Anolis sagrei: one gene and its partners. The protein of the gene in region 2 purifies or fractionates together with the protein of the main gene of each other region. This does not show direct contact. Links are inferred from orthologs where the notes say so. Each region holds a gene or a part of one and is shown on either strand. Other genes may lie near its edges. The genes, in order: RCAN1, PPP3CC and RCAN3.

Evidence for each region.
Region 1: the proteins of PPP3CC (region 2) and RCAN1 purify together in Homo sapiens (affinity purification with mass spectrometry; 3 studies listed by BioGRID and IntAct, counting the BioPlex papers as one, with this or other methods). This does not show direct contact. The link is inferred for Anolis sagrei from reciprocal best matches to the Homo sapiens genes PPP3CC and RCAN1.
Region 3: the proteins of PPP3CC (region 2) and RCAN3 purify together in Homo sapiens (affinity purification with mass spectrometry; 3 studies listed by BioGRID and IntAct, counting the BioPlex papers as one, with this or other methods). This does not show direct contact. The link is inferred for Anolis sagrei from reciprocal best matches to the Homo sapiens genes PPP3CC and RCAN3.

The regions. Positions count from the first base shown.
Region 1 is NC_090023.1:70,560,996-70,571,525, reverse strand, and holds the start of RCAN1 (calcipressin-1), read left to right. Parts: upstream 1-6,110; 5' UTR 6,111-6,396; coding exon 6,397-6,642; intron 6,643-10,530. UniProt on the Homo sapiens protein: Inhibits calcineurin-dependent transcriptional responses by binding to the catalytic domain of calcineurin A. Could play a role during central nervous system development.
Region 2 is NC_090027.1:1,199,393-1,209,102, reverse strand, and holds the start of PPP3CC (serine/threonine-protein phosphatase 2B catalytic subunit gamma isoform), read left to right. Parts: upstream 1-4,970; 5' UTR 4,971-5,218; coding exon 5,219-5,273; intron 5,274-9,710. UniProt on the Homo sapiens protein: Calcium-dependent, calmodulin-stimulated protein phosphatase which plays an essential role in the transduction of intracellular Ca(2+)-mediated signals. Dephosphorylates and activates transcription factor NFATC1.
Region 3 is NC_090034.1:77,019,815-77,029,636, reverse strand, and holds the start of RCAN3 (calcipressin-3), read left to right. Parts: upstream 1-5,835; 5' UTR 5,836-5,903; exon of another isoform or gene 5,904-5,923; intron 5,924-9,822.

The DNA of each region.
Region 1 (10,530 bases), on a different chromosome or scaffold from region 2:
ACTATATACCATTGAAATAACAACTGTTTTTAACATTTGCTTTGAATTTGAGTTCACAGACAGCGATATGCCAGACAGAAATTAACCTCCACAAAGCATAACAAAGTACATTGAGACTAGAATGCATCTAAACAAGCCATGTAATCCAGGTGGCAGGATGAAGTCCAAATAGTCCACCCAAATCAAAATCACTTTAGCCTTGCTGAATCTTCACATCCATGTTGCCACTGCACAGAATATCGCAGGGGCACCTACCTGGTCATCACAGACGCCTTGTGCTGATGTCAGCAGAGGTGTCTGCGTGACAAAGAAGAAGAGGGGAGAGTGATCCCTCTCTTTTAGTCTGGTCACACAGGTGCCTTTTTATGTCAGCACAGGGCACAGTGATAGCAGAAACTCACATGGAGTTCTGTGACTGTCTGGCAGTGGTGGTAGCAGTGACATGGGCCCAATCCATACCTTTTTTATGCACTAATGACTGCAGAGAAAAGGAGAGGGAGTCAGTGCACCATATGGACAGAAGACTGATCCTTGTTGGAGCAGGCCCTGCTGTCCACTAGGCCTGGGTAACAACAGAAAAATTTGTTTCTAAAATCGATTCGTTTTTGGGGGTTTTTGCGTTTCGATTTTTAAAAGAATTCCGAAATTTTTCTTTTAAAAAGTTCGATATTTACGAAATTTCGTAAAATTACAAAACAATACGAAACAATTATGAAACAATTACGAATCGATTCGTTAATGGCGGACACGACCGCGCAATACGCCAAATGGGACAGGGGGAACTTCTGAAGCTTCTCTCTCCCTCTGTTGTTGACTGTTGGTGTGATATTTATAATTTTTTTTCACTGATTAAACAAACAACAACTATAAAACTTGCCCCAGACATGCGGAAATAATAACGAAACGATTTCAAAACGATAACGAAAGAATACAAAACGATAACGAAACAATTACGAAACGAATTTAAAAATTCGTTTCATTTTTAAGTTGCTCCTGAATGGTTCGTTATCGCTTCGTTATAAAAAAAATAACGAATTTTTAACAAATTACGAAATTACGAAACGAAACCGCCCAGCCCTACTGTCCACACTAAGTCAAAGCCATGGGGCTGCTCCAGAGTTTCAGCCAAACTCGGAAACATCCCTGACTTTTCTGTCATTATCTGTCATTTTCTGCCATTATAAAGATAGCCAAGAGTGACTATACAATGAGAGTGGGCTATTAAGCTCTTGCAGACAAGCCCTGAGATGTGGAATGGGATATCTCCAACTTTTTACTCACTTGTGGATCACAAGCTTGGTGAATCAATGCCTTGAGTGAGCTAAAATGACAAGTTGGTAAAGACCTTCTGTGGCCATGTAAGAGAAGAGATATCTGAATTCTGAGTTATCATGCCTTAGGATCCTTTTATGAATTAGTTCTAGATCAAGCCCTGTGTACAAACCTTATAAATTTAGACTGTTTCAGTGGTGCATTTCATTATGGTATGGTTAGTTTGTGCCTCATTTGGCCCAATGATTGAGGTTGGAATCTCTTTTACAAAAAAGTATGTAGCAAGGGAAAAATTTAAAATGGGGGGGAAAGGATGCCATCTGTGTACAATGTTCTCAGCTCCCCCGCAGTAAGCTGATTAGGGGCAATCAGCTCCCTTCCCAGCTGCTTAAATTCTCCTGCTGAGAATGAGTTTGCTTCATGAAATGAAAGAAAAGTATTTGCATGAGCAGAAAGTGGAGGTGGCCTGAAGGAGCAGCATGAAGAAAAATTAGCAAGCACCACCAAAACATTTTAAGCACACTGATTATTCTAGGCTCTTAACATGGTGATTTAAATGGCTTTACAATTACTGACAAGGATTTCAAGAGGTTTTGTATTTGCATACCTGAAGAGAAAATGCTTTTTTTTCTTTTTTGCTGGTGACGGGATCTCAAAACTCCCAGTTAAGCTGCAGCATAATCAAGTTATTTCATAAAACATAGGATCAATCATAGGACTCATGACAGATGGCCACACAGCCTCTTTTTAAAAACCTCAGAGATGGAGACTCCACCATGCTCCAAAGCAGCATAATTCCACTGTCAAACAGCTCTTACTACCAACATTCTTTTTATGTTTAGGTAGGATCTCTTTTCTTATATTTGAAACCATTACTCTCTATTCTGGTCTCTAGAGAAGGTGAAAACAAGCTGGATCCATTTGCAATATGACATTCTGCAAATATTTAAATATGTCTATCATGTCACCTTTGAATCTTTCCTTCTCCAGACTATTCAAGTTCTCAGTTTGACTTGGAGGTCTGTATAGTAATAGTAGTAGGAGTAAAACTTTATTTATATTATAGTAGACCTCCTCACAATTACATCCCTGTTGTTTCTTTCTCCTTTAATTTCTACCCAGATCCTCTCAACTTGACTTCCAGGAATTAGGTCATGAGGCTCTTCACAGGTGTGAAAATCTTTGACCAAAAGAATGCTATGCCTCCTCCTTTCCTGTTTGCTCTTTTTTCCCAAAATAGATTATATCCCTCTATGATCACATTCTAATCATGAGACCCATCCACCAGGTTTCACCTAATAGATTTGTTACAGTTCTATTTTGACTGTCCAGCAAATGCCGCTGGAGTGGGGTAACAACAATAACACAATGCTACATAAAAATACTGAAAAACAAAGCAAAAAGAATAAACCATACACTGTCTCATTCAAAGGCTTAATAAGCAAAGGTAGTGCCGAGTGTGTGACTTCATAGAAGTCACATTCTCTCAACCTAAGGGGAAGGCAATGGTATGCTTCTTCTGAACAATTCCTTCCAAGAAAGCCCAGTGAGAATTTCACTTTAGGGTTTCTATGGGTACAAAAAAAATCGAGGGCACAAAACCACAATAATAATAGGAACTATTATTGTTCCTATTCCAAGTCCAAGAAAAATTGTTCTTGGACTTGGAATTCTGATTCTGAGATCCCCCAATTTCCCCATCATCTTTTGTGTACCTAGGGTCCTTCCACACAGTCCTATATCCCAGAATATCAAGGCAGAAAATCCCACATTATCCAAGTATGGACTCAGATAACACAGTTCAAAGCAGTTATTGTGGGATTTTCTGCCTTGATATACTGGGATGTAGGGCTGTGCGGAAGGGCCCCTAGACTAATTGTCACACTAGAGAAAAAATCCATTTAAAATCCAGTTTCTGCCTCCTGTAGAATTCTGGGGTTTGTAGTTTAGTAAAGCTGTTAAAGACTCCTCCCAAAATTACAAGCCCCAAAATTCTGCAAGAGGCAGAAACTGGATTTTAAGTGGATTTTTTCTCTAATGTGATGAAGTAGTAAGCTAGAACAGCTTCCTTGTATCAGAAGAGAATATGGAAAGTAATGTTTTAAAAACAGCTTATTGGCATTGCTTGTTGTGTTGTTTTTTGTTTAGTATTCCAAAAGTAATATCTTGCCAGAACTCATCTTTATATAATACAATACAAAACTGACCAGCACAAAACATAATTTTAAAAATAAACCTCTTTTTCTGTTTCTTAGTTTTCCTTACTGGAAGGGAAAGAATGGTGTAAAAGAAAAGGTAATTCCAGTAAAATGCCTAGAAAAATCCTTTTGAGAAATAATCTTAAATCATGACTATAAAACATTAACCGCTACACCAATAAAGGTAATGTGATTCCCAGGTGTAGTACTTTTGAATATAACTTCAATGCATCATTGTTACTCACAGAGTAAGCAGAAGTAACTACTTTGCTTGTAACTCATTAATTCCCAATTCGGTGTCAGATTAGCAAGGTAAATGGTAGAGAAAAGGACCCTTTCTTTCCACAAGATAAATAGGATGTAGAGAAGAAAGGAAGGGGGAAGCAGAAGTTACAAGGGTTGATTGCATCTTGGTTCAAATATTAGAAAGAAAGGTGGAAAGTTCAGCAGGACACAGCATAAATAAGGAGATCAGATAAAGAAGAATGGAAATGGGCGAGGACTCTTTCACACTCTTCTGCTTACCAGACAGCTATTTAGATGCCATTTCCTCCATATAACACAATACACATAATGGGCCATCTAGACAATAGCATCAGTTTTTCCGTTCTTAAGTTCTTCAGAGTATTTGATGTAGGAAATCAGATACAAAGAAAAAGGGCCTGTCATCACTTACTTTACTTCTATAGTATTATAGGCCCTGGTATCTGTTGTACTGTGTAAAGCAGTGGTTCCCAACCTTTGATCCTCCAGTTGTTTTGGACTTCAGCTCCCACAAATTCCTAACAGCTGGTAAACTGGCTGAGATTTCTAGGAGCTTAAGTCCAAAATAACTGGAGGACCAAAGGTTGGGAACCACTGGCGTAAAGGCATCCCAACTGAAAAGAGTGCTATATGCATTGCTCACATATTTATCTTGGTTATTTATTTATTGTGTCAAAAGAAAATTGATAATACAGTTATAATGTGTAGAAAAACCACAAACAAAGTTACAAACTTGGCATTCTATTAAATACCCTTTGACCAGTAGCTGGCCACTTGGAGTGCCTCTGGTGTTGCTATAAAAAGGTCTTTCATTGTGCATGTAGCAGGGCTCAGGCTGCATTGTGGTTTGATCTTTGCCACAATCACATGTCGTGGACTCCACTTTGTAACCCCATTTCTTAAGGTTGGCTCTGCATCTCGTGGTGCCAGAGCTCTGTCTGCTCTGTAACTTCCAAGTCACCCAGTCTTCTGTGTGTCCAGGAGGGTCTCTCATCTGAATTTTTTTTTCATGTCAGGAGCGACTTGAGGAACTGCAAGTCACTTCTGGTTCGAGAGAATCGGCCGTTTGCAAGGACGTTGCCCAGGGGACGCCTAGATGTTTTACCATCCTGTGGAAGGCTTTTCTCATGTCCCAGCATGGGGAGCTGGAGCTGACAGAGGGAACTCAACCCGTTCTCCCCGTATTCAAACTGCTGTCCTATTGGTCAGCACTGAGGTTTAACCCATTGTACCAGTGGTATCAGCCACTTTTGGACTCTTGCTTGCTGAGGTGTTTCTGCAAGTATTTATCCTGGTGTAGGAAGTAGAATCTACTTGAGGAACATTTTTTTCCCTAATGGATGCCTACTTTGAAAGTACTTCCATTAGTTGATAGGGAACAAAATCTTGGGAGAAATTATTTCCATGTGTGTATTTCCTTAGTAACCACTCGGTGGCGGTGTTTGATCACCTATTTAAAATATGTTTTTCTTTTAGAACAGTTTTTTTAAATATTCTAATCTATTCCAGGGTTTATAGCATCATAGTCCAGGCTATATGGCCATGCTCCAGAAGCATTCTCTCCTGATGTTTTGCCCACATCTATGACAGTAATCCTCAGAGGTTGTGAGATCTGCTGGAAACTAAGCAAGTGAGGTTTATATATCTGTGGAATAATGTCCAGGGTGGGAGAAAGAACTCTTGTCTGTTTGAGGCAAGTGTAAATGGAAGTGTAAAAAAACAGGGGAATTCCAATCAAGAATCAATCAGGGCCAGCTAATGCCTCCCCACAAAGGATCCCCCAGGCAGCAACCAGCCAGGCTTTGAAGCTAAAAGGCTACTAAATGCTAACCAAGGTGACCAATTGCAATATTCACACTTGCCTCAAACAAACAAGAGTTCTTTCTCCCACCCTGGGCATTCCACAGATATATGAACCTTACTTGCCTAGTTTCCAACAGACCTCACAACCTCTGAGGATGCTTGCTATAGATGTAGGTGAAATCTCAGGAGAGAATGCTTCTGGAACATGGCCATACAGCCTGGAAAACTCACAGCAACCCAGTAATAACCTCTGAGGATGCTTGCTATAGATGTAGGTGAAATCTCAGGAGAGAATGCTTCTGGGACATGGCCATACAAACTCACAACAGCCCAGTAATAAACTGCCTCATAAAGCAATGTAGATGGGGCCAGTATTAAAGCAACCTTGAAGGTACATCTCCCGAAAGCGTCTCTTCAAAGGGCCAAGAAGGGGGGAAAACGGCCGGCGGTGGAGACCTCAGTAAGGCAACACAAGCTGGAGGTGCCCTCACCCAAGATGGCGGAGGTGGAGTCGGGACACTTCTAGGCAGGACACCGGTTGAAGGCGAAACGGAGCACTCTGATTGGCGGAGTAGGCGTCAGTGCGGGGCGAACGCACGGTGCCCTCATCCAAGATGGCGGCAGGAGAGGAGGAGGAGGAGGCGGAGGCGGAGCCGGGCCCCTTCGAGTTGGGTCACCTGTTGAAGGGCCCGTCGAGCGGCGTGATTGGCTCGCCCCAAGAGCCTGCGGCCTCCCTTCCCGCCTCGGCGTCGATGGGATAGGGTTAAAAAGCCGAAGCCCTGGGGGCGGCGAGGCCTCGCTCTCTCTGTGTGTGTCTCTCTTTGAGGTACCACCCCCGGCTCCTCCCCTTCAGCCCGGCATGGAGGGGCTCGAGAGGCGGCGCGAGAGGGAGGAAGAAGGAGCGGCGTCAGGAGGAGGAGGAGGAGGAGGAGGAGGAGGCCAGGAGGCGGCGGCGGCGGCGGCGGGAGAGGCCAAGGCCGCGGAGGAGCCTCTGGACTGGACCTTCGTCGACATGGAGACGGCGATGTCGCTGCAGGACCTGCCCGCCGCCCTCATCGCCTGCAACCTACCGCTGGCGGTCTTCTTCCCCGACGGACCCAGCAGGGTGAGACCCCCAAGGCCCGCCTGCCCCACCTTGGCATTCATGCTGCAGAGGCGCTTCTCTGGCAAACTTGGGCCCTCCAGGTGGGTTGGGCTTCAACTCCCACCATTCCTAACCGCCTCAGGCCCTTTCCTTTCCCCCCTCAGCCGCTTAAGCGGCTGAGGGGGAAAAGGAAGGGGCCTGAGGCGGTTAGGAATGGTGGGAGTTGAAGCCCAACCCACCTGGAGGGCCCAAGTTTGCCTGAGCAAGAGCATGCCATTACCCTCAAGGCACATCACAGTGACTATGCCTTTCACTGTGGTACTGGTCTGCAGGATTTCCAGGACACAGCTAACAAAACATTCAAATGAGCTGTTCAGTAGTGGAACTCTCTGCCCCAGAGTGTGGTGGGGGCCCCTCCCCTGGAGGCTTTTAAAAAGAGGCTGGAGGGCCTCTGTTTAATTCTTCCTGCTTCTTGGTAGGGGGTTGGGCTGAATGGCCCACCAGGTCTCTTCCAACACTATGATTCTGTGATAATCACCACTGCAGATCCCTCACTCTTTTAGCCAGTCATTTTATGCGCACTGTTGTGGTCATTTAGTCAACTGCCACAAATACTTGGGACCAATAGAACTCTAGAGTTGGAAGAGACCCTAAGGGCCATCTAGTCCAATTATCAGCCATGCAGGAGCCCCCGGTGGCGCAGTGGGTTAAACCCTTGTGCTGGCAGGACTGAAGACTGATAGGTCACAGGTTTGAATCCGGGGAGAGTGCAGATGAGCTCCCTCTATCAGCTCCAGCTCCACATACAGGGACACGAGAGAAGCCTCCCACAAGGATGGTAAAAACATCAAAACATCCAGGCATCCTCTGGGCAACATCTTTGCAGACGGCCAATTTTCTCACACCAGAAGCGACTTGCAGTTTCTCATGTTGCTCCTGACACGACCAAAAAAACAAACAAATAAACAGCCATGCAGGGAGTCCCAGTTAAAGCACCTCCGGCAGATGGTATCCAGCCTCTGCTTAAAAGTCACTAGAGAAGGAGGTCCTACCATGTTCCAAGGCAGCTTATTCCACTGACGAACGGCTCTTACCATCAGTGGCTTCTTCCTATTATTATTATTACCTTTATTTATATTTCCCACCTTTCTCCCCTTGGGGACTTGAGGCAGCTAACATCTATCCCTGGCATGGGCAAACTTGGGCCCTCCGGGTGTTTTGGACTCCAACTCCCACAATTCCTAACAGCTGGTAAGAATTGTGGGAGCTGAAGTCCAAACCACCTAGAAGGCCCAAATTTGCAAGACCATGCCTTTATCTTCAAGTCACATCACAGTAACTATTCCTTTCATTGTGCTACTGGACACTAACCACAGCTAAACATTAAAATCACCACTGCAGCCCCCTTGCTCCTTTAGCCAGCCATTTTATGCTCACTGTTGTGGTCATTCAGTCACCTACTACCAATACTTGGGACCAACAGAACCCTAGAGTTGGAAGAGACCCCAAAGGCCATCTAGTCCAATCCTCAACCATGCAGGGAGACCCAGGCAGAGCACTCCCAGCTATCCAGGCTCTGCTTAAAAGTCTCCAGAGAAGGCGGTCCCACGATACTCCATGGCAACCTATTCCACTGATGACCAACTCTTACCATCAGGAAGTTCTACTACTACTACTTATTTTGATTTATATTTCCTGCCTTTCTCCCCATAGGGACTCGAGGCAGCTAACATCTATCCCAGGGATGGGCAAACTTGGGCCCTCTGGGTATTTTGGACTTCAGCTCCCACAATTCCTAACAGCCAGTAGGAATTGTGAGAGTTAAGTCCAAAACACCTGGAGGGCCCAAGTTTGCCCAGGCCTGATCTATCCACACTAAAGAGTTAAAAAAGAGAAATACAAAAAATAAAAAACAATTAAATAATAGTGTGGTAAAGACAGAATGAAAATACAGCTAATACATTAAAATGGCCTTTAGAACTCTTATCTCCTCTCCCAAACCCCACCCACCCTCCCTCCCCTAATGTTTAGGTGGAATCTCCTTTCCTGCAGTTTGAGACTATTGCTCTGTGTCCTAGTATGTGTTGTGATATGTTTCATGGCTACTCATATTCTGTCCTTTTAAATACGTGTTCTGGCTAGTCTATGTAGCACTGAAACCCTTTTAAGCCAATCCCATCAAAAATTATGCAAGTTTTCAAGATACCAGCTTCTTTTCTTTGGGTATGCTATTTTGAAAGGTGAGAAAGGGCGCAGAATGTGTCCTACCCAGCATGTGGCCTCATGATATAACACACCTGCAGGGTATTATACTGACAATTCTCCTTATATAATAAATGCATAACAGTTTGCATAAATTTATTATAGCTCATGGTATGGTGTATATGTTCTTATGGGTGCCACATGGCACATGTTATTTTACCGCATGGCTGGTAGGCATAATGTGCAGTGAAGGAATAGAAGAAATGTTCTGTGGAAAATTAGACTCCTTCCTGAGAGACATCTGTGTTATCTGAGGAAAGATGTAAGGGTAAAATTTTGCATGCATGCTCCCTTAGTTCTGATCCAGGATTGGCTGAAAAAAGCATCCCTGCATGTTTCTACTGTGCAAATTTGTTGGGCTACAATAGTTATTCTGGCCCCCTTAAGCATGATCTGTTGCTATGGGGTGTATCTACACCAGTGTTTCTCAACCTCTGCTCCTCCAGGTGTTGTGGACTTCAGCTCTCAGAAAGCTTACCAGCTGTTAGAAATTGTGGGAGCTGAATCCAAATCACCTGGAGAAGCAGAGTTTGAGAAACACTGATGTACATAACACCCCATAGCAACAAATCATGCTTAAGGGGACCAGAAGATACTGATCTACACTGTAGAATTAATGCAGTTTTATACACCTCTTTAACTGTCATGATTCAGTGTTCTTTGGCAAAGCTGTGCTATGCTTCTAGTGTTGCAGCCATAAGATTAATCCACCGCAAAACAGCAAATTTTGCCAGGAACTATATGGAGTAGGATTGAGCATCTATTTTCATCAAGGCTATTCAGTACAAGAGTATCATTATGGATAATGATGGATTTAATTTTAAGATGCAGGGACCTGCAGCAAAATGTAGGGTATCAATTTAAACATATAGTACTATAAAGATCCCTTAAGGGGCTAATTAGCAAGCCCTGAACAGACCCTTGAACAGACCCGCCCCTTTGCATGCTGTAGCTCAGCTATTTTTAGTAACAACTCCAAGCATGATTACTGTATTGTGCTGGTGCTACATGGTTTCTGTTCTAGATTTAGGCTGGGCGCATTCAGGAGCACTGTAGTTAGGGTTCTAACAGCAAGAGTCCTTTTTACAAGAAACACCTGTATTTAGGAACAACAGCCAGGAAGAATTATGTGCCCGGACTGCTATAGCAACATGTGAGAAGCATCCATATATAATCCTTGGTCTACGTATTTTGGGGCTTAATCTATTTTTGGAAACCCAGTTTTTATACATGAATTTCTTTTACTGATATTTATTGGCATGGAGCCACGCACTTTTAAAGTTAAACGTTCTTATATAAAAACCATACTCAGTGTCTTCATTGCCATTTTGTCAGGTAATTGTTAAATGGTTATTGTGTCTTATTGCTTAAGTGTGGCTTCTTAGAAGTTAGGTATCTTAATTCCATTGGGTATTACTCTAAAGTAGGCATGTACAGGATTGAGTACTGATTGTATAGTCCCAATTTGAGCTTATATTTTGTTGGGCTACTATGCTAGTATAAAACTAGTTGCACAAAAGAGGTGTGCTTTTACAGAGGTTTCATAAATGCACCCCCTAAACTCCTCTTACTTTTAACTTAATAGATGGGAGTTAATTGATCATTGCACAATGAATGTGTTCAGGGCCCTAGTGCCCATTGTGCAAC
Region 2 (9,710 bases):
ACCAGCATTTTTGTAGTGCAGAAATAGGCCAATCTGGCAGTAAATCATGATCTATAGGCATTGGAAACATCTCTGAAAATTCCCTTTTTAAAACCACGTCCCCGCTAGGTCTCTTCCAACTCTAGGATGCTATGATATCCCAATTCAAAGCAGATATTGTGGGTTATCTACCTTGATATTCTGGGACCCCTTCCACATAGCCATATAACCCAGAATAAAAATCCCACAATATCTCCTTTGAACTGGATTATATGGCGAGAAGCTCGGCCTGTCATTAAAGATCGAGAAAACCAAAGTGCTCTTTCAGCAGTCACCCGACTATTTATTTATTTAAAACATTTATATTTCGCCCGTCTCACCCCGAAGGGGATTCAGGGCGGAGCACAGCATATATACGGCAAACATTTAATGCCAATCCCTCTCCAATGCCAGCTTAACGGTGTAACATTAGAAAACGTTGACCATTTTCGCTCCCTTGGCAGCCACCTCTCCACCAAAGTCAACATTGACACCGAAATACAATACCACCTGAGCTTTGCGAGTGCAGCTTTTTTCCAAATGAAGCTGAGAGTGTTTGAGGACTGGGGCATCTATAGGGAGACCAAGGGGCTTGTTTATAAAGCCATTGTCCTCCCAGCTCTGCTATACGCCTGCGAAACGTGGACTGTCTACAGACGTCAACATTGAGGCTGAAATACAACATGGCCTGAGCTCTGCGAATGCAGTATTTTTCCAAATGAAGCAGAGAGTGTTTGAGGACCAGGACATCCGTAGGGATACCAAGGGGCTTGTTTATAAAGCTATTGTCCTCCCAACCCTGCTGTACGCCTGCGAGACATGGACTGTCTACAGACGTCACATGATACTCCTGGAACGATTCCATCAGCACTGCCTCTGAGAAATCCTGCAAATCTCTTGGGAAGACAAGCGGACAAACGTCAGCGTGCTGGAAGAAGAAGCAAAGACCACCAGCATTGAAGCGATGGTCCTCCGCCATCAACTCCGCTGGACCGGCCATCTTGTCTGGATGCCTGACCACCGTCTCCCAAAGCAGTTGCTCTACTCCAAACTCAAGGGCGGAATATGGAATGTTGGTGGGCAGGAAAAGAGATTCAAAGATGGCCTCAAAGCCAACCTCAAAAACTCTGGCATAGACACTGAGAACTGGGAAGCCCTGGCCCTTGAGTGCTCCAGCTGGAGGTCAGCTGTGACCAGCAGTGCTGCAGAATTTGAAGAGGCACAAATGGAGGGTGAAAGAGAGAAACGTGCCAAGAGGAAGGTGTGTCAAGCCAACCCCCACCGGGACCGCCTTCCACCTGGAAACCAATGCCCTCACTGTGGGAGAAGATGCAGAGCAGGGAAGAGGGCTCCACAGTCACCTACAGATTCACTCTGGAAGATTCTCCTACTCAGACAACGAGGGATCACCTAAGTAAATAAGATGGCAGTGTGGACTCAGATATCCCAGTTCAAAGCAGATATTGTGGGTTACCTGCCTTGATATTCTGGGACCCCTTCCACACAGCCCTATCACCCAGAATAAAAATCCCACAACTGGGTTGTATGGCAGTGTGGACTCATCCCAGTTCAAAGCAGATATTATGGGTTACCTGCCTTGATATTCTGGGACCCCTTCCACACAGCCCTATCACCCAGAATAAAAATCCCACAACTGGGTTATATGGCAGTGTGGACTCATCCCAGTTCAAAGCAGATATTATGGGTTACCTGCCTTGATATTCTGGGACCCCTTCCACACAGCCCTATCACCCAGAATAAAAATCCCACAACTGGGTTATATGGCAGTGTGGACTCAGATATCCCAGTTCAAAGCAGATATTGTGGGTTACCTGCCTTGATATTCTGGGACCCCTTCTACACAGCCCTATAACCCAGAATAAAAATCCCACAACTGGGTTATATGGCAGTGTGGACTCAGATATCCCAGTTCAAAGCAGATATTATGGGTTACCTGCCTTGATATTCTGGGACCCCTTCCACACAGCCCTATAACCCAGAATAAAAATCCCACAACTGGGTTATATGGCAGTGTGGACTCAGATATCCCAGTTCAAAGCAGATATTGTGGGTTACCTGCCTTGATATTCTGGGACCCCTTCCACACAGCCCTATAACCCAGAATAAACATCCCACAACTGGGTTATATGGCAGTGTGGACTCAGATATCCTAGTTCAAAGCAGATATTATGGGTTACCTGCCTTGATATTCTGGGACCCCTTCCACACAGCCCTATAACCCAGAATAACAACATCTGCTTTGAACTGGGTTACTCGAGTCCCCACTCCAATACATTCTAGTTCAAAGCGGATAATGTGGGATGTTCCTCAGCTGTGTGAAAGCGGCCTGGTTATCTGAGTCCCAGAACAAAGCAGATGGATGTGGGATCTTATTCAGCTGTGTGGAAGGGGCCTGACTGGAAGGGCCCTCAGTTTCAAACTCTCCCCATCTCAAAACTAAGCTCCTCAGAGGCCTAGCAGTTTCAAAGTCTGGCTTCTTACTGCCTGGGGAAAATCCTTTATTTTAAAAAAAACCTCCAAAATCATAACACGTTGGCAGTCTTCATGAAGAACTTGAAGACCTGGCTATTCCGATGTGCGTTTCCGGAATAGGATAACCCCCAAGACTATGTCCCAGAAGCACTTTATTAGAGTTTAAGACTCTCTGCACTCTGCACTTGCCCGGAAATCCAAAATACCACCTGCCACACCCAGCACTTTTTAACCTGTACCCGTCACTGGCCCGGCCCTGGTTTTTATTGAGTAATTGATGTATTTTTTTTCTTATTGCTTATGTTTTAATTTGCTTTAAATTGTATTGTTATTGTTTTGCTGTTGTTGTGTTGAGGCCTTGGCCTTTGTAAGCCGCATCGAGTCCTGCGGGAGATGCTAGCGGGGTACAAATAAAGTTAATAACAATAATAATAATAATAATAATAATAATAAATAAAGAACAACAATCAAAAGCAGGAGAACTCCAGACAAGAAACAATCAGGGGCAGCTAATCACCTTCCAACAAAGGATTCCCCCAGGCAGAATGAAGCCAGACTTTGAAACTGCTATGCCATTCAATGCTAATCAAGGTGGCCAATTGTATCATTTCCTCAAACAGGGAAGAGTACTTTCTTTCTCCCACCCAGGGCATCATTCTTTGGAAGCTTTGAAACAGGGGCTGGCTGGCCATCTGTCGGGGGTGCTTTGAAGGCAATATTCCTGCTTCTTGGCAGAATGGGGTTGTACGGGATGATGGCCCAGGAGGTCTCTTCCAACTCTAGGATTCTATAAGAAACAACCAGGGCCAGCTAATCACCTCTCAACAAAGGATTCCTCCAAGCCAGACTTTGAAACTGCTTTGCCATTCAATGCTAATCAAGGCGGCCAATTGTAACATTGCCTCCAACAGACAAGAGGTCTTTCTTTCTCCCACCCGGGACATCATTCTTTGGAAGCTTTGAAACAGGCTGGATGGCCATCTGTCAGGGGTGATTTGAGTGCAATATTCCTGCTTCTTGGCGGAATGGGGTTGGACTGGAGGATGGCCCAGGAGGTCTCTTCCAACTCTAGGATTCTAGGATTCTATAAGAAATAATCAGGGCCAGCTAATCACCTCCCAACAAAGGATTCTCCCAGGCAGCATGAAGCCAGACTTTGAAACTGCTTTGCCATTCAATGCTAATCAAGGTGGCCAATTGTAACATTGCCTCCAACAGACAAGAGTTCTTTCTTTCTCCCACCCGGGACATCATTCTTTGGAAGCTTTGAAACAGGGGCTGGATGGCCATCTGTCAGGGGTGCTTTGAATGCAATATTCCTGCTTCATGGCGGAATGAGGTGGCACTGGATGATGGCCCAGGAGGTCTCTTCCAACTCTAGGATTCTATAAGAAACAATCAGGGCCAGCTAATCACCTCCCAACAAAGGATTCCCCCAGGCAGTATGAAGCCAGGCTTCGAAACTGCTATGCCATTCAATGCTAGTCAAGGTGGCCTATTGTAACATTGCCTCCAACAGACAAGAGGTCTTTCTTTCTTTCTCCCACCCTGGATATCATTCCACAGGTACAGAAACCCCCTTTTCTTAAGTTTCCACAGGAGTCACAACCTCTGAGGGTGCCTGCCACAGATGCAGGCGAAACGTCAGGAGAGAATGCTCCTGGAACGTGGCCAGACAGCCCGGAAAACCTACGGCCACGCCGTGATTCCGGCCTTTCAGGAAAGCCTTCGACGGCCCAGCTGCGTTTCCTAGCAACTCCAATTACTTTTCAAAATGGCGGAATGAAGGAGGAGGAGGAGGAGAGCGGGGTCACGTGACCTGGGGGAGCCTCGGCTTTCCTCCCCCTCCCTCCCCTTTCCCGTGACGTCGACCAATCAGAACGCGCGCTCTTCGGAGGAAAAGGCCTCTCCCTGCGCATGCGCGACAGTGTTAGAAGCCTGTGGGGTGAAGAAGGAAGGCAGACAGGCGGGAGGGAGTTGTGTTGCGCATGCGCGTTGGCGGGACCTGGCGGGGTCACGTGACCTAGGGGAGCCTCGGCTTTCCTCCCCCTCCCTCCCCTTTCCCGTGACGTCGACCAATCAGAACGCGCGCTCTTCGGAGGAAAAGGCCTCTCCCTGCGCATGCGCGGCTGTGTTAAAAGCCTGTCGGGTGAGGAAGGGAGGCGGGAGGGAAGGGGTCGTGTTGCGCATGCGCGTTGAGCGGGCACGGAAGCCTTGACAGCTGCAAGTGGGAAGAGGAGCGACGCCGGCGCATGCGCGGTGGAGAGAGGGCGCTGAGAGGAGGGCGGGGTCACGTGACCTGGGGGAGCTTCGGCTTGCTCGTTCTCTCCTCTTCTCTTCCCCCTCCCCTTTCGCGTGACGTCGACCAATCAGAACGCGCGCTCTTCGAAGAAAAGGCCTCTCTCAGCGCATGCGCGGCTGTGTTAAAAGCCTGTGGGGTGAGGAAGGAAGGCAGGCGGGAGTGAGTTGTGTTGCGCATGCGCGTTGAGCGGGAACGGAAGCCTTGACAGCTCCAAGTGGGAAGAGGAGCGACGCCGGCGCATGCGCGGTGGAGAGAGAGAGAGCGAGAGGGCGCTGAGAGGATTCCCCAGTTGTCGCGCCGCCACTTCCAGCGCCGCCTCGGCCTCCTCCTCCTCAAGAGAGAGAGAGAGAGATCCCCGGTCCCTCCTGAGGGGAGGCAGGAGCCGGCCGGACCGGCGGAGGGAACATGTCCGGGCGCAACTTGAGCGGGAAGCTGTCCACGACGGAGCGCATCGTCAAGGGTGAGCCTGGGGGGCTCCCTCGGGCGGGTGGGGCCACTTCCGCCAGGCCGGCAGGAGGAGGAGGAGGAGGAGGAGGAGGAGGAGGGAGGGCCTCGCTCGGGCCTCCTTCCCTGGCAGCAGGGGAAGGCCTCGCCGTCGCTATGGAGAAGGACCCTCAAGGGGGGGGAGGGGGGTACATTCCCACGCCAGACCCCCCCTTCTGAGGAGAAAGAAGGCCCCCAGCACGTTGCCACGGAGGGAGGGAGGAGGGGGGAGGGGCCGCACCGCCCTGAAAGACCCCCAACATGCCTCACATGGGGCTGGCTGGGGGCTCAGGGGATACAGGCTTCGCTCCGTGCACAACACGGGGAGAATGTTACCTCCAAATCCCCTTCAGGAGGTTCAGTGTGCCCAGTGTGAAGTTTCAGGCACAACATGGGTAGAATGACAGCTTTCAGGTGGTTCAGTGTGCCCAATGTGAAGTTTCATGCTCAACAAATACCTTTCAGGTGGTTCAATGTGCCCAATGTGAAGCTTCATGCAAAACATTGGTAGACTAATAGCTTTCAGGCATTCCAATGAGCCCAATGTGAAGTTCCTTTCACAACATTGGTAGAAATATTATATCTAATTAGCTTCCAGGTGGTTCAGTGTGCCCAATGTGAAGCTTCGTGCACAACGTTGTTAGAAATATTATATCTAATTAGCTTCCAGGTGGTTCAATGTGCCCAATGTGAAGTTTCATGCACAATATTGGTAGAAGTATTCTATCCAAATAGCTTTTTGCTGTTTTAATGTGCCCAATGTGAAGCTTCATGCAAAACATTGGTAGACTAATAGCTTTCAGGCATTCCAATGAGCCCAATGTGAAGTTCCTTTCACAACATTGGTAGAAATATTATATCTAATTGGCTTCCAGGTGGTTCAGTGTGCCCAATGTGAAGCTTCGTGCACAACATTGTTAGAAATATTATATCTAATTAGCTTCCAGGTGGTTCAATGTGTCCATTGTGAAGCTTCATGCACAATATTGTTAGAAATATTATATCCAAATGGCTTTTTGCTGATTCAATGTGCCCAATGTGAAGTTTCATGCTCGACAAATACCTTTCAGGTGGTTCAATGTGCCCAATGTGAAGCTTCATGCAAAACATTGGTAGACTAATAGCTTTCAGGCATTCCAATGAGCCCAATGTGAAGTTCCTTTCACAACATTGGTAGAAATATTATATCTAATTAGCTTCCAGGTGGTTCAGTGTGCCCAATGTGAAGCTTCGTGCACAACGTTGTTAGAAATATTATATCTAATTAGCTTCCAGGTGGTTCAATGTGCCCAATGTGAAGTTTCATGCACAATATTGGTAGAAGTATTCTATCCAAATAGCTTTTTGCTGTTTTAATGTGCCCAATGTGAAGCTTCATGCAAAACATTGGTAGACTAATAGCTTTCAGGCATTCCAATGAGCCCAATGTGAAGTTCCTTTCACAACATTGATAGAAATATTATATCTAATTAACTTTCAGGCAGTTCAATGTGCCCAATGTGAAGTTTCATGCACAGCATTGGTAGAATCATAGCTTTCAGGTGGTTCAGTGTATGCAATGTTAAGCTTCAAGCACAACACTGGTAGAAATATTATATCCAAATAGCTTTGTACTGGTTCAATGTGCCCAATGTGAAGCTTCAAGCACAATATTGTTAGAAACATATCCAAATAGCTTTCAGGCAGTTCAATGTTCCCAATGTGAAGTTCCATGTACAGCATTGGTAGAATAACAGCTTTCAGGTGGTTCAGTGTACCCAATGTTAGGCTTCAAGCACAACATTGGTAGAAATATTATGTCCAAATAGGTTTCAAGCAGCTCAATGTGCTCAGTGGGACGTTTCATTCAAAACATTGGTAGAATAATAGCTTTCAGGCAGTTCAAAGTGCCTAATGTGAAGTTCCTTTCACAACATTATTATATCTAATTAGCTTCCAGGTGGTTCAGTATGCCCAATGTTATGTTTTATGCATAATATTGGTAGAATCACAGCTTTCAGGTGGTTCAGTGTACTCAATGTTAAGCTTCAAGCACAACACTGGTAGAAATATTATATCCAAATAGCTTTCAGGTGGTTCATTGTGCCCATTTTGAAGTTTTATGCACAATATTGTTAGAAACATTATATCCAAATAGTTTTCAGGTGGTTCAATGTGAAATGTCATGCACAATATTGTTAGAAATGTTATTTCTCATTAGCTTCCAGGTGGTTCACTGTGCCCAATGTTATGTTTTATGCATAATATTGGTAGAATAACAGCTTTCAGGTGGTTCAGTGTATCCAATGAGAAGCTTCAAGCACAACATTGTTAGAAATATTCTATCTAAATACCTTTCAGGTGGTTCAACATACCCATTGTGAAGTTTCATGCTCAACTCAAAGTTTCATGCATAATATTGTTAGAAATATTCTATCTAGATACCTTGCAGGTGGTTCAGTGTACCCAATATTATGCGCAACATTGGTAGAAATATATCTAATTAGCTTCCAGGTGGTTCAATGTGCCCAATGTTAAGTTTAATGCACAACATTGGTAGAATAATAGCTTTCAGGTGGTTCACTGTACCCAGTGTTAAGTTTCATGCACAATATTGTTAGAAATATTATATCCAAATAGCTTTCAGGTGGTTCGATGTGCCCAATGTGTAGTTTCATGCACAATGCTGTTAGAAATGTTATATCTGAATAGCTTCCAGGTGGTTCAGTGTACCCTATATTATGCGCAACGTTGGTAGAAATATATCTAATCAGCTTCCAGGTGGTTCAGTGTACCCAATGTTAAATTTCATGCACAACATTGGTAGAAATATTATATCCAAATAGCTTTCTGGTGGTTTTATTTATGTCAGAAGTGAATTGAGAGTACAGTTAAAATGTATAGAAAAACCACAAACAAAGCTAAAAACTTGGCATTATACTACATTCCCTTTGACTAGAAGGGAGCCACTTCCAGTGCCTCTGGTGTCACTGGTGGTTCAATGTGCCCAATGTAAAGTTTTATCCACAGCATTGTTAAAAATATTACATCCAAATCGCTTTTAGGTGGTTCAATGTGCCCAGTGTAAAGTTTCATACACAACATTGTTAGAAATGTTATATCCAAGTGGCTTTTAGGTGGTTCCGTTTGCTCAATGTTAAATTTCATGCACAACTTTGTTAGAAACATTTTATCCAAATAGCTTTTAGGCGGTTCAATGGGCTCAATGTTAAGTTTCATGCACAACATCCTTAAAATACTATCTCCAACAAGCTTTCAGGTGGTTCAGGTGGAATGTGTATCAGGTGTAGATGACCTGTGGGATTTTAAAACACAATTAAAGTCCTATCTCTTCCAGCAGGCCTATCCAGTCAGTTTTAAATAATCAATTTTAATGTTACATTGCATTAATACTATTGCATTTCTTTGTATTCACCTTCTATCTCCCTAGAAGGAGACTTAAAGCAGATAACAACACTGAAAACAGTAAAATATTAGTATTATATTTTAATCTGTGTACTATGTATTTTGATATTTGTTTTATACTATATTTTATCTGGATGTTTTAACTGTTTTGTGTCCAACTCAACTATGGGGAGTTGAAGGAAACAAATAATGTTGTTATTTATTATATGAAATGTAAATATAAATGATTTTTGAGTTCAGACTTGGGTCAAAGATCTCTCATTATCTGACCCATTCAAAACAAACTCATAATCGGTTGCACCATAAAATGGGCGTGAGTCACTTTGAGTGAGATAGGAAAGCTTACCCATCTGCTGCATTACAGGTTGAGTATCTCTTATTTGAAATACTTGGGAGCTGGAGCATATTGGATTTTTTTTATTTTGGGATACCTATATTTTCATATACAGACATCATGGGATACCTTAAAGATAGGACCCAGGTTTAAACATGATATTATAATTTATGTTTCCTCAGTACACACATACCCTGAAGGCAATTTTATGTAATATTTTGGGCATGAGACAACTTTTATGTGCATTGAGCTACCAGAAAGCAAAAGTGTCACCATCTCAACCACCTGTGTTGAGAATTTTGGTACATTTTTTATTATTTCAGAATTCTGGATAAGAGATGTCCAACCTACATATGGGATTTAATATGATGGAATAGGGCCCTTGATTTAGTTTGAGTGGCATTGATTTAAGTAGTTATTTAGCAGCTATTTAGATGAAATGAGAAGATCACATTATCCCTTCATCTCCCACCTTAATTCTCCAGTTGCAGTGTTATATGGCAGGAGAGCTAATTGGCTACACAGTTTATTTTGATTGAGGTTGCTCTGCAGAATGCCAGGTGATGTAGGGTATACAGGTAGTGAGTTGCAAACCATGTCTATGCATTTCTTGCCTAAGAATACCCCATAAAATTCACAGGTCACCATACCTTGATGAATGACTTGAAGGCAAAT
Region 3 (9,822 bases), on a different chromosome or scaffold from region 2:
TGAACAAGCCATAAGTGCATACCCTGCCCTCTCCTTCCTGCCTCTAGCCCAGAAAGATACAAATAATATGCTTCTAAATTACATACTGGTTCTTATATATAAACTGGATGCGCTTGTTAACCCTTATGTGAACAAGATGGGATTATACATTCCAGGGTGACCCTGGATTGTCTAAACAACTGGTAATTCAAACTAGCCACTTTTCAATTTCAATTTCAACATTTTATTATGGTCCAAAGACCCTTATTTAACCATAGGCATACAAAGTGTGCTGGTAATGAGATTAAGAACATCCGGTTGATTGAACACACAAATTGATAAAATTTACAACAGTTAAAAACTGCTTAAAATACATGTTGGCTAAAAACATAGGTTAAAGACTACAAGAAGTGCTGGCGCGTTTCAGCCTGTGTCTAAAATTGGGAATTGTCTAATTCTGGCTACTTCAGAAAGAAATTTGGTAGCCGCCAAGGTCACGTGGGGAAGGTTGTCACTAAGTAGAAATTTCACATAAAATTTCACTGGACTTGCTGGTAAGTTTCTCAGTAGGGGGTTGATTATGTGTGCTCGGGGTTGTTCACAGAAACTGCAAGACAGTAGAATGTAGTAAATGCATTCTACTTCCTGTTTGTTACATGGGCAGAGTCTTTCATTATATGGGGTACCTGCAAATCTTCCACGCAGCAATTCAGACGGAAGCACATTGCACCTTGCTTTGGAAAACATCAGTATTTGGCCACAATAATAATTTTTTTTTTTGTCGTGTCAGGAGCGACCTGAGAAACTGCAAGTCGCTCCTGTTGTGAGAGAATTGGCCGTCTGCAAGGATGTTGCCCAGGGAACGCCCAGATGATTTGATGTTTTATCATCCTTGAGGAAGGCTTCTCTCATGTCCCCGCATGAGGAGCTGGAGCTGATAGAGGGAGCTCATTCGCTCATTCGCCTCTCCCCGGATTCAAACCTGCGACCTGTCGGTCTTCAGTTCTGCCAGCACAGGGCTTTAACCCACTGCTCTAATAACACAGATACCTATAAATCAGTTGTAAATAAGCAATTGTCCTATTTAAATAAGCTTCAACATAGGTACAAGTTTAAGTAACTTCAATAGTGAAACACACAAAATATATACGGTTTACAACATAATTTCATAGGACATATACATCAATGAATATATCAAACTTAAAGGCAGTTCACATTGTGTTTAGTACATTTGAGAATATGTCCATGATCTTACAACAAAAGTTCACATTGTATTCCACAAACTTGAGAGTATCAAAACTGGAAACAGTTCGTGTTGCTTTCAGCCAACTCGGGAGTCCACAACAAGGTTCCCCGGGTGCTTTTGTGTCCTTGTTTCAAGAACAAAATTATCTTCTTCAGGCTTCTGGATGGCCTTGAGTATTTTCCGTTGGTCATGGGCGTTCTGTGTGGGAAGTTTGGCCCCATTCTGTCGATGATGGGGTTCAGAACACTCTTTGATTATAGGTGAACTATAAATCATGCGATGTTCGGGGCTTGGTGAATGCAAAGCTGGGGTGAAAATTGCTGGAAGAAACATTAACAACCTCAAATATGCAGATGACACCACTCTGATGGCCGAAAGTGAGGAGGAGCTGAGGAGCCTTCTAATCAAGGTGAAAGAAGAAAGCGCAAAAGCCGGGTTGCAGCTAAACATAAAAAAAAAAACCAAGATTATGGCAACAAGAATGATTGACAACTGGGAAATAGAGGGAGAAAATGTGGAGGCCGTGACAGACTTTGTATTTCTAGGCGCAAAGATTACTGCAGATGCAGACTGTGGCCAGGAAATCAGAAGACGCTTCCTTCTTGGGAGGAGAGCAATGTCCAGTCTCGATAAAATAGTAAAGAGTAGAGACATCAGACTGGCAACAAAGATCCGCATAGTCAAAGCCATGGTATTCCCTGTAGTAACCTACGGATGTGAGAGCTGGACCTTAGGGAAGGCTGAGCGAAGGAAGATCGATGCTTTTGAGCTGTGGTGTTGGAGGAAAGTTCTGAGAGTGCCTTGGACTGCGAGAAGATCCAACCAGTCCATCCTCCAGGAAATAAAGCCCGACTGCTTGATATCGAGCTGTTTTTAGGAGGGTTTCCCCAGCCGGGGGAAATCCTTGAGGACCGCACCAAAGAGAGTCCTGGAAACCTTGGTGAGGCCAGCGAAGCCAATTCCAGCTGTTAAAATATTAAAAATAATAATACCTTACCAAAGCGGAAGAAGTTCAGCGACCGAGGTGTTTATTAGCGATTCAGCTGCAATTGGATGCATTGCAGGGATAATTCCACCACAAGCATAAGCATACAGAGACCAGGAAGCATTTTTATAGCAAAAGTACAGTTTCGCAAATTTGAAATTCCCGCCCGCCTTCCCCACCTGGCTTGTCAGTGATTGGTGGATGGCCGAACAGCTGGGAGGAGGCTTGCCGAACCTCCCCCGCGCTCAGCCAATCACCGAGCTCCCTCGCTTCGGGCGGACCAATCAGGATCGTCCGGCCGCTTCGAGGGGCTAGCGAATCAGGAGCGAGGAGGCGGGATGAAGAAATGACAATGGAGGGGAAGGATTATGACAATCTTGACCAAGAATCTTCCTGCGTCCGGGGCAAAGTCGGGCCAGCAGTGAAGACAGTTATTGTTTGAGTCAATGGGTGGGTGATTGAACCAATCTGACTTTTCCTGTCAGTGCCGGATTAGCTGAGTTCAGTGAAGAGTTTCGAGTGATATGATCAGGGTTGGGCACAGGACCCCCTGATGGGCAGTCTCACCCTTATTGTCCTTGGTAAATTAGTTTCTGACCGGAGGAAGAATATCACTTGTTGGCCATGCTCCGAAGACAAATGAAGAAACTTCCTGAACTATTGTCCATGCAAGGGATGAGCAAATATGAGTTCCATTGTGGGGCAAATGACCCCTCGGGGCAGCTGTGCACGATTCAGTCTTTTGCTTCATAGTTTTAGTAGGGCAAAGTTAAAGGGTAAGACAAGCAATGTTTCATAGCAAGATACATACATACATTCAAATCATAAGCATTTCATAGCAACAAAAACCCCATCTTTGTCCCACATCCCAAGTATATTTAATAAAAGGATTAATTTTCATGAAGAAGTCTGAAGTCCAATGTTTTAAAAGGTCTTTGAGGAAAGTTCATGAGGGAGATAGTATGTACTCAAGTCCAAAACAGGCAGGCAGAGAGTCCAATGATCATTGGGAAGACTGGCAGATGAAACCCCAGCTGTGCTGCAACTGATTCATGCTTTTGTTCCTTGGGAAACTACAACTCTCACAAAGGGCAGAAGTCGCAAGATCCAGCCATTTCCCAAAAGCCTCGTGGGATCCTTGTTGTTGTCAGTGCCTTGGCAATGTGACCAAGACTTAACCCTTGTTGTGTAGTCTGGTGCCCTTGCCCTTTGCAGAACTACAAGTCACTATCCCTTATTTTTTTGGGGGGGGGTGCTTGACATCATTCTCATTGGAGGGAAGGATACTAGAGACAAAGTTGAAGTACTTTGGCCACATCATGAGGAGACAGGAAAGCCTAGAGAAGACAATTATGCTGGGGAAAGTGGAAGGCAAAAGGAAGAGGGGCCGACCAAGGGCAAGATGGATGGATGGCATCCTTGAAGTGACTGGACTGACTCACCCCACTCAAACCCATCGTGAGTGCCATTGGATCCCCCACATACGACCTAGCAAAATTTCTTGCTGCACAGTTACAAAGCCATATTGGGCTCACTACACACTACATCAAGGACTCAGCCCACTTCATAGAAAAAAAAAATCAGCAATCTCAAGCTGATCAGCTTCGATGTGGTATCTCTATCTACCATGGTCCCGGTAGCAGACACCATGGCACTCATCAACCAGAGGTTCCCAGAAGACATCACGGCTCTGTTTCACCATTGCCTCACCAACAGTTACTTTCAGTGGGACAATGAATTCTATGAACAGAAAGATGGAGTAGCTATGGGGAGCCCTCTCAGCCCGGTCATAGCTATCTTTACATGGAACACTTTGAAAAACAAGCCCTGGAGACAGCAACCAAAAAGCCCACGATATGGTTCAGATATGTGGATGACACCATCACCATTTGGAGCCATGGAGAAGAAGAACTCAACAGGTTCCTGGACCATCTTAACAGCATCCACCCAAACATCCAGTTCACCATGGAAAAAGAAAATGAAGGAAGACTGCCTTTTCTAGATGTCCTAGTCATCCGCAAACCAGATCAACAATTGGGTCACACCGTCTACAGAAAACCCACACACACAGATAGATATCTACATAAAAACTCCAACCATCACCCAAGTCAAAAAAGAAGCAAAATTAAAGCCTTGGCAGACCGTCCAAAAAGAATCTGCGAACCCCACCTCCTCCAAGATGAACTGAACCACCTCAACTGGGCTCTCCAGGCCAATGGATACTCCACCTCAGACATCAGAAGAGCTGCAAGACCAAGAACAAGCCACGAGAGTCAAGACAAAGATCCACCCAGAGGAAAAGTGTTCCTGCCATACATCAAGGGAACCACTGACCGCATAGGGAAGCTGATGAGGAAACACAACATACAAACAATCTACAAACCCACCAAGAAAATCCAACAAATGCTACGTTCAGCAAAGGACAAGAGGGATCCTCTCACCTCTGCAGGAGTCTACCGTATACCATGCAACTGTGGACAAGTCTACATAGGGACCACCAAACGCAGCATTGTCCAGACACGCATCAAGGAACATGAAAGGCACTGCAGATTACTTCAACCAGAGAAGTCAGCCATAGCAGAGCAGCTGATGAACCAGCCTGGACACAGCATATTATTTGAGAACACAGAAATGCTGGACCACACCAACAACCACCATGTCAGACTACACAGAGAAGCCATTGAAATCCACAAGCATGTGGACAATTTCAACAGAAAGGAAGAGACCATGAAAATGAACAAAATCTGGCTACCAGTACTAAAAAACTCTAAAATTATAACAGCTAAACAACAGAGAGGAAAAAACCAGGCACAGATTAACACCTCCCAGCAACAGATTTTCCCAGGCTCAGGCAGGCCTTCAAATGCTAATGAAGGTGATCAGCTAAACATTCACACCTAACTGCAGCAGGGAAGAGCTCCTTGCCCCACCCAGCCATTCCACAGATATATAAACCCATTGTCCTAATTCCAACAGACCTCACTACCTCTGAGGATGCTTGCCATAGATGCAGGCGAAACGTCAGGAGAAATGCCTCTAGAACATGGCTCTATAGCCCGAAAAAACCCACAAGAACCTAGTGATTCCAGCCATGAAAGCCTTCGACAATACGACAAAATCATAATTTTTGAGTGATGGTCACTCCTTGTGTTGTGAGACGTTTTGTTGCCAAATGTGGTGTGATTTCGTTCATTGGTTCTTTTGTTTTTAAGATACTCATTATGCACAGAGCATTGATAGATAGATAGATAGATAGATAGATAGATAGATAAGATAGATAGGGAAGGGTTTGTTTTGCTGTCTGTGGCCCTGTTCAGAAGATTTCGCCTCACTTTCTGTTGTCTCGCCCCCAGCTGTTAGGAATTGTGGGAGTCGAAATCCAAAACATCTTAAAAGAAGACCCAAGTTGGCCGATGCCCCATTCCCTGTCTTGCAGGAAAGGGGAGGGGCGGGCTTTAGCTTGAGCACGTGACGCCACCCACCAATCATAGCGAGCAGAAGATACGATGGCGTCATCCTCCCCAGGAGGTGGAAAAAGAAAAAAAAAGCCTCCATCCGGGTTCTTCTTTCCAAAGTGAGAGAGCGAGGAAAGAGACGCGCGGGCATGCGCACACATGCGCGCCGGGGAGTTGAGAAGCAGGCGCGTGCCACAGCGCGTGCGCGGTTGTGAGGCGCTTGCGCTGCCCAGACGCGGTGAGTCTTTCCGAGAGGCGGTGAGTGAGGGAGAGGGGGAGAAAGAGAGGGAGGGTACTCATAGAATCCCCTTCAAAGCAGGGATTGTGGGACTTTTCTGCCTTGATATTCTGGGTTATATGGCTGTGTGGAAAGGCCTTTAGATAGCCCAGTCTGAAGGCCATGAATAATCCCTATGAGGAGCATCTTAAAGAGCTGGGGCCATCATAGAATAGATTCTGGAATTCATAGAATCCTAGAGTTGGAAGAAACCTCATGGGCCATCCAGTCCAACCCCCTGCCAAGAAGCAGGAAAATTGCACTCAAAGCACCCCTGACAGATGGCCATCCAGCCTCTGTTTAAAAGCCTCCAAAAAAGTAGCCTGTACCACACTCGGGGGCAGAGAGTTCCACTGCTGAACGGCTCTCACAGTCAGGAAGTTCTTCCTCATGTTCAGATGGAATCTCCTTTCTTGCCTTAGTCACCTCCAGATTGGATTACTGTAATGCACTCTATGTGGGGCTGCCCTTGAAAACGGTCCGGAAATTTCAATTGGTACAACAGGCAGCAGCCAGGTTACTAACTGGTGCGACTTACAGAGAGCAGTCAACCCTCCTGTTTAAGGAGCTCCATTGGCTGCAGTTCATTTTCAGGTCCCAATTCAAGGTGCAGGTTCTTACCTACGAAGCCCTGAATGCTTTGGGACCCGCCTACCTGCGTGACCGCATTTCTGTGTACGAAGCTGGAGCCCCCGGTGGCGCAGTGGGTTAAACCCCTGTGCTGGCAGGACTGAAGACCGACAGGTCGCAGGTTTGAATCCGGGGAGAGGCGGATGAGCTCCCTCTATCAACTCCAGCTCCTCATGCGGGGACATGAGGGAAGCCTCCCACAAGGATGATAAAAAACATCAAATCATCCAGGCGTCCCCTGGGCAACGTCCTTGCAGATGGCCAATTCTCTCACACCAGGAGTCACTCCTGACATGACAAAAAAATATGTGTACGAACCCACACAATCTCTTCGATCATCTGGAAAGGCCCTGCTCACGCTCCCACCTCCTTCACTGGTGGGGACGAGGGAGAGGGCCTTCTCAGTGGTAGCCCCCCAACTCTGGAATTCACTTCCCAAGGACATCAGACATGCCCCAACTCTGGCAGTCTTTAGTAGGAGCCTGAAAATGTGGTTGTTCCAGTGTGTCTTCCCAGAATACGGAAAACTCTCAGCAATATGTCCTCGAAATGCACTTTACCACTGATTTAGGACTGACTGCGTTCCCTCATCTCTTTTTGAAAACCCTGTACCAGTTATGTCCTACCTTGTTCTTTTTAAATTTAAAAGTTATTACATTTGGCCCGGCCATTGGTTTTTAAATGTTTGCATGTTTATTGTTTGTTGTCTATGTGATTTATATTAATTGTATTGCTTGATTGTTTTGTTATTGCTTTTGTTATTGATGTACTGTGGGCTTGGCCTCATGTAAGCCGCACCGAGTCCCTTGGGGTAGCGGGGTATAAATAAATTATGATTATTATGATTATTGTTTGAAGCCATTGTTCCATGTCCTAGTCTGCAGGGCAGCAGAAAACAAGCTTGCTCCCTCCTCCCTGTGGCTTCCTCTCACATATTTATACATGCCTATCATGTCTCCTCTCATCCTTCTCTTCTTCAGGCTAAATATGCCCAGCTCTTTAAGCCGCTCCTCATAGGGCTTGTTCTCCTGACCCTTGATCATTTTAGTCGCCCTCCTCTGGACACATTCCAGCTTGTCAATATCTCTCTTGAATTGTGGTGCCCAGAATAGGACACAATATTCCAGGTGTGGTCTAACCAAAGCAGAATAGAGGGGTAGCATTACTTCCCTAGATCTAGACACTATGCTCCTATTGATGCAGGCCAAAATTCCATTGGCTTTTTTTGCCACCACATCACATTGTTGGCTCATGTTTAACTTGTTGTCCACAAGGACAACAACTCCCATAATTCCTAACAGGTAGTACATAGGTTGGGTTACTGTGAGTTTTCCGCATCTATGGCAGGCACCCTTAGAATTTGTGAGGTCTGTTGGAAACTAGGTAGGAGGGGTTTATATATATGTGAAATGATATCCAAGGTGAGAGGAAGAACTCTTGACTGTTGGAGGCAAGTGTGAATGTTGCAATTGATCACCTTGATTAGCAATGAATGGCCTTGCAGCTTCAAAACCTGGCTGCTTCCTCCTGGGGCAGTCCTTTGTTGGGAGTTTTAGCTGGCTCTTATTGATTCCTGTCAGGAATTCCCCTTTATTTGCTTTATTTATTGTCCTTATTTTAGAAGGTTTTTTAAAATACTGGGGAGCCAGATTTTGTTCATTTTCATGGTTTCTTCCTTTCTGTTGAAATTGTCCACATGCTTCTTGTGGATTTCAATGGCTTCTCTGTGTCGTCTGACATGGTGGTTGTTGGTGTGGTCCAGCATTTCTGTGTTCTCAAATAATATGTTGCGTCCAGGTTAGTTCATCACCTGCTCTGCTATGGCTGACTTCTCTGGTTGAAGTAGTCTGCAGTGCCTTTCATGTGCCTTGATTCGTGTTTCAGCGCTGCTGCTGCATTTGGGGGTCCCTATGTAGACTTCGTGCCTTGGATCATGAGAAGATCCAACCAGTCCATACTTCAGGAAATAAAGCCCAACTGCTCATTGGAGGGAAGAATAGTAGAGGAAAAAATGAAGAACTTTGGCCACATCATGAGAAGAAAGGAAAGCTTAGAGAAGACAATCTGGGGAAAATGGAAGGAAAAAGGAAGAGGGGCTGACCAAGATGGATGCGTGTTATCCTTGAAGTGACTGGCTTGACTCTGAAGGAGCTGGGGGACGTGATGGCCGACAGGGAGCTCTGGCATGGGATGGTTCATGAGGTCACAAAGAGTCGTGGAATGAACAACAACAATGTAGACTTGTCCACAGCTGCACAGTATGCGATAGACTCCTGCAGAAGTGAAATGATCCCTCTTGTCCTTTGCTGAACAGAGCATTTGTTGGATTTTCTTAATGTAGATAGTTTGTAGGTTGTGTTTCTTCCTCAGCTTCCCTCTGCGGTCAGTGGTTCCCTTGATGCATGGTAAGAACACTTTTCCTCTGGGTGCATCTTTGTCCTTACTATCATGGCTTGTTTTTGATCTTGCAGCTCTTCTGATGTCGGTGGCCTCTAGAGCCCAGTTGAGGTGGTTCAGTTCACCTTGAAGGAGGTGGGCTTCGCAGATTCTTTTTTTTAATTAATTTTTTATTTCAAAAAGATAATACACCAACCATATATATTGCAGAAATATACACAAACACATACACATATGTAGACAACCCGCCACCCACAGTATAGTTATCCCTCAACCCACCTCCAGTGCTCCCCACCACCTTGGTTTCCATCACTGATCCCTGCAGGATTTATGCACATCTTGTTTAACCCTATACTTCTAATTCAATAAATTCCTCTTGTTTTTATTTCTTTAGCTCTCCCGTCAAATATGCTAAGGCCAACTTCCAGTTTCTTTCAAATATTTCATGATTTTCATTTTTCAAATTGCTAGAAATCTTAGCCATCTGTGCATAATCCCACAGTTTATCCTTCCAATTTTTGATGCTTAATGTTTTCTCCCCTTTCCAATCTTTGGCAATTGTAATGCTTGCAGCCACAAAGCTGTACAAACAAAATTCTCTCTCTGGTTGTTCTAAGCATTTCTGAATATCCCTAATAGGCACATCCCTGGGTTGTTTTTTTTACTTTGTTGTGAATCATTTTATTTGTTTCCTTTATTATTCTTTTCCAATAGACCTGCACCAGTTCACAAGACCACCATACATGAAAAAAGTCCCTTTCTTTGTTTTGCACCTCCAACAGGAACCTGTTTGTGAATTGTCCAGATTCTTTTTCCACAGTCTGCCAGGGCTTTAATTGTGCTTCTTGGTTGG